Cricetulus griseus: one gene and its partner. The protein of the gene in region 1 interacts with the protein of each later gene in a pairwise test. Links are inferred from orthologs where the notes say so. Each region holds a gene or a part of one and is shown on either strand. Other genes may lie near its edges. The genes, in order: Phf1 and Pdlim7.

Region 1 (3,901 bases):
ATCAAATAAAGAAATTTTGTTGTAGACTTTACGCATGGTTGTTTTGCCTGGGTGTGTGTACATGTGCGCCATGTGTATGCCTGGTGCTTCTTGAGTTCAGAAGAGGGCTGGCTTCAGGTCCTCTGGACCTGGTCTGATGGATGGCTGTGAGCGACTGTGGGTTCTCTGCAAAAGCAGTCAGTGCTCTTAACGACGAGCCATCTCTGCAGCCCTTGTTACGGCTCTTAAATAAAGGTCTTGTTAGTCCTGGTAGGTTGTAAACAAATACCGTAAGCTTGCAGAAGTGTGGCTTCTGACGTGTGCTTTGCACAGTGAGGCTATGGGCTTTTCTCTGTTGGGCTCTCACTTGGCTGTCCTTCAGCGCGGGTGTTGCACCCATAGCTGCCACACCGGGCCTGGTGTGAGTCCCAGCGCGCTCGATCCGCATCCCCTCCCTCTGCCTGCCCACCGCTTGGAACTACGGTTCCCTGCCGCCCGCTGCCCATTGGCTGGCTGTGGGCACGTCACCGGCTGGGTGCTGGCCCTGCCGCCCTGGCTCGCCCGCTCGCCGGCCCTGGCCCGCTCGCTCGCCTGCCCGCCCGGGAGGGAGGAGCGCAGCCGCACCGGGCTCCCGCGGCAGGAGGTGTGGCTGTCTGCCCAGGTGCAGCGCCCAGGCGGGGCCGCGCGTGCGCAGAAGGGCGGGGCGACAGGAAGTGTGAATGGGGAGGGCGGGGCCGCGTGCGGAGGCGGGGCTTGGAGTGGCCACGGGGGCGGGGCAGCTAACGGATGTGGCATGGGGCGGGGCTGGGCCCTGACCTGCAGGCTGGCTGCCAGCAGGGTTATTTCCTGCCGCTCCCGGGGCGAGCCTCCCGTCCGGAAAGGGGGCTGCAGGGGTCCCCTCGTCCTGCCCGGCCGGCCGCGCCCCCAGCCGTGCGGTGCCCTCGGGGCCTGCCGGGGGTGAGGGAGGTGCTGCCTGTCCGCCCCTCCGGCTTCTCCTCCCTCTGGTGCTCCCCACCCACTACTCCTCCCTCCCGCCCTCCCGCGGCCGACTCCTCCCGCCGCCGCCGCCGCTGCTTTGGCTGCTGCGTCATACGCCCCAGAGCCGCTAGGACGGAGGGGCTGGGCCCCGGGACCCCCGGCCTCCTCCTGCACGCCCTCGGCGTCCGCACGCACTCCGCCCGCGCCGGGGCTCGCGCCCCTAGGGCTCTGGGGTCTGCCCCTAGCTGGCTCCCTGCTGACCCAGCTGTCACCGGTAAGAAGGAGGCGGGAGGCCCTGAGCGGGGGCAGGGAGGGGGCCGGGGGTCGATGCTCAGCAGGGGGCAGGAGAGCCTCTTGGCACCGGCTTAGGATCCGGGCTGGGGGGACTCGAGTCCCTCCTCAGACCGGCGGTGTAGGGTAGCGGAGACCTGGACAGGGACACGCCCCCCTCCTGGGGCACTCGGGGAAGTTATCTAATCCCAGGGCAAGCAGCCTCAAATTTGAGGGTGACCTAACATAACCTGGCACCAGGACAGCGGTTCTAAATGAGACACACAGGCCTGGGGAGGCGGATGTCTCTACTCAGGGAAACATCTCCAGAAAAGCTCCCAAAATATCTCTGGGCAACCGAGCGTCCCAGTTAGGATACCTCTAAACAGCTGGGAAAGGCGAAACTGAATGAATGGTAACCTTGGCTCTGAAAGCATCTTTTCCCCTAAGGCCCCAGGGAGCTGGGATGCTAGAGAACCAGGCTGGGGACCAGGGTGACCCACCTCCTTAGGTGTCTAAAGGATTCAGTGACTGAGCTTGGAGGTGCTTGGTCCCTTATCCTTGACAGTAAAAGCAGACAGAGCAGCCAAGCCTTCTTAACATTCATAAACTCTTCCATCGTATCTGATTAGCCCCTCCCAGGATGCAATGGCGCAGCTCCCCCGGCTGAGCCGCTTGGGTGCACCCTCTCTTTGGGATCCAGCTTCCCCTGCTCCCACCTCAGGCCCTAGACCTCGACTTTGGGAGGGTCAAGACGTGCTGGCTAGGTGGACCGATGGGCTGCTGTATTTAGGCACCATCAAAAAGGTAAGAGCCAACTCTGGGCCCCACCATGGATCCTCTCCCTCTGATTCCTGCTCCCACTTTATAATCTTTGCTCACCCACTCCAGGTGGACAGTGCTCGGGAGGTGTGTCTGGTCCAGTTTGAGGATGATTCCCAGTTTCTGGTTCTATGGAAGGACATCAGCCCGGGTGAGACCCTTCATAACTGCAGAAGCTGGAGGGTGTGGGGGACACTGGCTGAAGTAAGCCACCTGACACCTTGTCCCTCACAGCTGCCCTCCCTGGGGAGGAGCTCCTCTGCTGTGTCTGTCGCTCTGAGACGGTGGTCCCTGGGAACCGGCTGGTCAGCTGTGAGAAGTGTCGTCATGGTGAGAGGAGAGGGCAGGATACTTGAATGGTACAGTTTGCCCTGGGTCTTCTGGATTGCCAGTTGTCTTCCTAGCATGGGTCTTGTGTCTCCTATCTTGGCCAGTCTTCACCCTGTCACCTCATCTCAGTACAGGGAGAGGGAGCCATAGGATGAAGATGACATAAGCCATGCAAGGTTGAGGGTAGCTACATACATCTCTCTCTCTCTCTAAGGTTGAGGGTAGCTACATACCTCTCACTCTCTCTCTCTCTCTCTCTCTCTCTCTCTCTCTCTCTCTGTCTTTTAAAGATTTGTTTATTTATTATACAGTGTTCTGCCTGCATGTACAACTTCAGGCCAGAAAAGGGTACCAGATGTCACTACAGATGGTTGTGAGCCACCATGTGGTTGCTGGGAATTGAACTTAGGACCTCTGGAAGAGCAGCCAGTGCTCTTAACCTCTGAGCCATCTCTCCAGCCCCCCCACCAAACACACACCACACACACACACACACACACACACACACACACACACACACACACAGTAGGACCATGGTCAGGATATAAACGCACAAGGGAAGGCTGCCGTGTACGAGCACCAAGCCAATGCAGGTGCGCACACAGTGTTTGACTCTCAACATTGTCCTTATTCAGCTTATCACCAGGACTGTCACGTTCCCAGGGCCCCAGCCCCTGGAGAAGGAGAGGGCACATCCTGGGTCTGCCGCCAGTGTGTCTTTGCGATTGCCACCAAGGTAAAGGCACCTCTCTGCCACTTCCTATGGGAGCCTCCCATGGCCCCTTCTCTCCTGCCTCTCTGAGGTTTCCACCTGTTCCTCTGCAGAGGGGGGGCGCCCTGAAGAAGGGCCCCTATGCCCGGGCCATGCTGGGCATGAAGCTCTGTCTGCCGTATGGACTAAAGGGGCTGGACTGGGACGCCGGGCACTTGAGCAACCGACAGCAGAGCTACTGTTACTGTGGAGGCCCCGGGGAGTGAGTGGTGGGGGTGCTGAGTTCTGGGGTGGACGCTGTGGTGGTAGAGCCTGGAATAAAGGGGAAGGGGCAGGCTGAGGGGAGCCCCGAGGTGATGGGAGGTGGGTGAGGGTTCAGGGTGGTCTCAGGCAGGCTGTCTTCCCCTGAGGTGGAACCTGAAAATGCTGCAGTGTCGGAGCTGTCTCCAGTGGTTCCACGAGGCCTGCACCCAGTGTCTGAGCAAGCCCCTCCTCTACGGAGACAGGTGAGCCCAAAGGAGGCTGTCCAGGAAGCCCAGGGCGCCCGCCTGCTGTGCTCCACCCACGCCCAGGCCTCCCAGCGTTCGCTGTCTACCACTTGTAGAGTTGAACGAGGTGCGTTCTCTGTCCTCATGTCCAGATTCTATGAATTTGAATGCTGTGTGTGCCGGGGTGGCCCTGAGAAGGTCCGGAGGTTACAGCTTCGCTGGTGAGATGGATTGTGCCTTCCTTCCTTCCTTCCTTCCTTCCTTCCTTCCTTCCTTCCTTCCTTCCTTCCTTCCTGTTCCCCGCTGTTTGACTCTCATATGC
Region 2 (3,901 bases), on another chromosome or scaffold:
CTGAGAAGCCTGGGGAAAGGTGATTTAGACAAGGAAGCTGCTGGGCTTGGTGGTGTGGTCTCAGCTCTCAGGAAGTAGAGGCTAGACGATCTGGAATCCATGCACACTCAAGGGCCAAAGGGCCAGCCCGTCCACACGGGGAGGCCTTATTTCTTTTTACTTTTATTTCATGTGTATGGGTGTTTTACACTGCGAGCTTTATTTCTTTTTACTTTTATTTCATGTGTATGGGTGTTTTACACGGGGACCCTTATTTCTTTTTACTTTTATTTCATGTGTATGGGTGTTTTACACGGGGACCCTTATTTCTTTTTACTTTTATTTCATGTGTATGAGTGTTTTGCCGGCATGTTAATATGTGCACTACATGTGTGCCTCGTGCCTGAAGAGGCCAGAAGAGGGCATTGAATCTTAAAAGAAAAGAAAGCAATGGAGAAAGGGAGTGGTCGGCCTGGCCTTGACCAGCATGCCTCAGCAGGACGGGATGAGACCTGAAGGCTGCAGCTGACTTGATGGAGGTCGTGGAGACCTCGAGTACCATAGAGACAAGGGACAGCAAGAGGAAAAAGCAACGCAGACAGAACAGCAGAGTACCAAGGAGCATTTCTTCAAAGATGACATCTCCTGCAGGAGTTTGAGCCGTCGGGACAATGTTGGGGAAGGGGGATGTATGTAAGGATGGTAGGAGGGCGTGGGGGGGGGTCGTGCCCCCCACCATTCACTCTAACACTCAGGAGAATCGGCTTTCCTTCCCTCTGCCGTGACAGCTCCTTCCACCCCACCCCCACAGGACGGACTGTGTGCTCGGGAGGGGTGTTCAGGGGATACAGTCCGTCCCAATAGTGGTGCTTGGTGGATGTCGCAGAGCTGTGGACTGCTGGCTCTGTCTGGATGGACTCTTACTGTCAGGCCCCATGTGGGGCTAAGGGCCTCCTCCAACTCCGTTGGCTCTTACTATTTATTTGTTTATCTATTATTTATTTCCTTATGTATTGGTTTCCAGATTATCCTGCAAGCCTAGCTTTGGTTGGTTGGTTGGCTTTGGTTTGGGGGATTGAACCAGGGGTCTCTACCACTGAGCTACATCCCCAGCCCCGGGAAAGCTAACTTGCAACTACCCTGTCTCGCTGCTTCTCCATTCCCTGGAATTCAGAAATTCTGAAATCTCCGGTGGCGCGGACCACGGCCGCTTTGACCTGTACCGTATCCCTGACAGAAGGGTATTATGAGGCTATTCTCCCCTACAAGGGGAGAATGAGGTGAGAGAAGACCTCTACAGCCGGGGTGTTTTAAAAGGCTGCTTTCTCTTCCCCCTCGCCAGTGGGAGGCGCAAGGGGCTTGGGTGAGAGCCCGGAGCGGGGCGCAGGCTGGCGGCGACCAGGCTCGGGAGGGTCATTGCCCGGGTAAATGCGCGACCCTCCGTCCCTGTCCTGGAGACTCAGGGCTTGGGGACGGGGTGGGGCCTCGCACCGACCCCGGGATGTCCACTCGCGTGGCCTGGGGAGGGCGTGGCCTAGGGCTCCGCCCCCTTCCGCGGGCTCAAAAGGCGCGGCGTCCGCGGAGGCGGGGTCAGAGCGCAGCGCGGATCCCAGCAAGGCTCCCGGAGGCCGCCGAGCCGCGGCCCAGCCGGGCACCCAGGTACTGGCGGCCGCGGGGGGTTCCTGGGCTGCACCCCGTGGGGTCCCGTGGCCCGCTGAGGTGCTGCGGGGGGCGTGGCGGCCGTGGCCTGCGCCGGATCCCCTCGGTTGGCTTCGGCCGCAGCCTCCGCCCCCGCCTTCCTGCGGCGGTGCGGCTGATTGGCGCCTGCGCCACCGTGTGCGGTGGGGACGCGACCAAGCGCGGGGCTGGGGCTGGAGACGAGGGGAAACAGAGTCACGTTGGGAAGGGAGCTTCGTGCGTGTGTGCCACCACTTTTACTGGCTTCCAGAAAGAGTCCCCTCCCTGGCCGCGCGTTAGGGACATGACCCCCGCCACTCTCCATGGGGACAGCGCCCCGTTTCTTACCCCCCTTGCAGTGCCCGGGGTCCCACCCTGGCTTCCAGCAGCCTCGACCTGTCCCAAAATGGCTAGGACCCGCTGCAGCGGCCTCCTTCCTCGCCCCTCCCCCTCACGTCCCGAGCCCCTAAAGTGCTCCCTCCACGGGCTCTCCACAGTGTCAGCTTACACGCCTTATATAGTCCGAGCAGGCTCCAGCGGCCTGCTGGGACCCGGGGAAGGAGGGGGAGCTGGCCCCTGACTCACCCTGCCGCCCTCCTGAGATTCCAGGTTAGCTTGGGCGAAGCAGTGCCAATTAGCCCCACAGCCCACCCCCGGGAGAGAAAAGAAGTTAGACTTGATGAGAACTTTGCTCACCCTCCCAGTGGCAGGGGCCAGGGTGGGGAACTGACTTGTCTGTTGCCTGTGAGGTCTGCCAGCCGGGAGCCCCGCCAAACCCAACAAGATACCTGCCTCCCAGTGCCTGTGTGTGCTGAGCGTCTCTCTGTGCCTTCTGGTACCTGGCTAACGCTAGTGACCAGATCTGGACCTGCTGGGCCATCTGCAGTGCTGGGTGCGGCCACTCACTTTCTCTTCTGTCCTCACAGGAGCAGGCACCATGGATTCCTTCAAGGTAGTGCTGGAGGGGCCAGCACCTTGGGGCTTCCGGCTGCAAGGGGGCAAGGACTTCAATGTGCCCCTCTCCATCTCTCGGGTAAGCCTAGACTGGGGAATGCACTCCCCAAGGGTTCTTGGGTGCCCATGTTTCCAGCAAATGGTGGGAAGAAACAGCAAGAGCGAGCAAGCTGCTCAGGGGCCAACAGGACACCAGCATCCAGGTCCAAATGGGCCCTTACTTCAAGGACTCCTGGCTAGGTGGATAGTGGAATGGGGAGCCCCCCCCCCCCAGCTGCCCTGCTTTGACATGGTACTTGATGCTATTCCAAGCCCCCTTGGCCATCTGTGAGTGCCAAGGAGAAGCCTATTTTACAATATGGGAGGTTGATGTCTCCAAGAAGTGCTTTAGCATGAAGAACAGTGTGTGGCACCAGGTGCCAGGCAGGACCTAACTTTAATGTCACTGCTATCCAAGGCATAGCAGTTGTCATCCTGCTTTGCCAAGTGACAGGACTTGGAGGGATGGAGGAGCTCAACCAGCAAGTCCCTGGCAGAGCAAGAATATGAACTGAGGCACAAAATGGCTTGTCCTTCCTGTAAGTTTAAGGGGTCTCTTCCCAGCTGAGTGAGGACTGAGCAGGCTGAGACTCAGGTCCTCAGCCTGCTGGTTCTGGTCAGGCTGTAGTGACCTTTGACCCTAAGCAGAGGTGTAGTGAGGCTAGCCTCCAGGATTCTTGTTCCCATTCTTCAGTCTGCCCTGATGGGGGGTGGGGCTGGGAGCTGACTCCTCCCTGTGGCAGGGGGATTGCCTTATAAGCCCAAGAATGTAGCCCCAGCTGGGATGGCCAACAGTGGCCAGTCAACAGAACCCAAAAGGGTTGGCCTAGGTCTAGGCCCCTTAGCGCCATTGGTGGGCCCTTCACCTGATCATCAGTCATTTTGTGTCAGTGGGACTCAAAGCAAACTTTGTGCCAGAGTGGGTGAGGCCAGGGCGCCAGCTTGGTAGCTCTGACTGGCCTAGGGGGTCAAAAAAGGGGCAGGGACTTCCTGCCCTGATAGCCTCCTGCCTAGAGAGGCCCACCCAGCCACAGAGTAGGCATGCAGCTGTTGGCAGGAAGCCCAAGGCAAGCCCAGCCCGAAGGGGCCTGAGAACTTCCCGACACTGCTCAGCCTGAGAGGGGTGTCAAGGCTGCATCTCTCAGTGGGAGCTGGACATCAGATATCGGACATCGAGGCTAGGGCAGGCATACAGACAAACAGGCTGCGTTCTTCCCAGGACCCTTCCCTGGGGCCCTCTTGGAATCCGCCC

Evidence for each region.
Region 2: the proteins of Phf1 (region 1) and Pdlim7 interact in binary tests that used the Homo sapiens proteins (3 or more experiments, as listed by UniProt). The two-hybrid records come from large-scale screens. The link is inferred for Cricetulus griseus from reciprocal best matches to the Homo sapiens genes PHF1 and PDLIM7.

Annotation. Positions count from the first base shown.
Region 1 is NW_023276806.1:232,131,134-232,135,034, forward strand, and holds the start of Phf1 (PHD finger protein 1), read left to right. Parts: upstream 1-1,072; 5' UTR 1,073-1,231; intron 1,232-1,859; 5' UTR 1,860-1,875; coding exon 1,876-2,034; intron 2,035-2,118; coding exon 2,119-2,200; intron 2,201-2,283; coding exon 2,284-2,379; intron 2,380-3,014; coding exon 3,015-3,115; intron 3,116-3,204; coding exon 3,205-3,353; intron 3,354-3,501; coding exon 3,502-3,597; intron 3,598-3,731; coding exon 3,732-3,800; intron 3,801-3,901. UniProt on the Homo sapiens protein: Polycomb group (PcG) that specifically binds histone H3 trimethylated at 'Lys-36' (H3K36me3) and recruits the PRC2 complex. Involved in DNA damage response and is recruited at double-strand breaks (DSBs).
Region 2 is NC_048596.1:274,498,378-274,502,278, reverse strand, and holds the start of Pdlim7 (PDZ and LIM domain protein 7), read left to right. Parts: upstream 1-1,514; 5' UTR 1,515-1,638; intron 1,639-2,582; 5' UTR 2,583-2,593; coding exon 2,594-2,689; intron 2,690-3,901. UniProt on the Homo sapiens protein: May function as a scaffold on which the coordinated assembly of proteins can occur. May play a role as an adapter that, via its PDZ domain, localizes LIM-binding proteins to actin filaments of both skeletal muscle and nonmuscle tissues.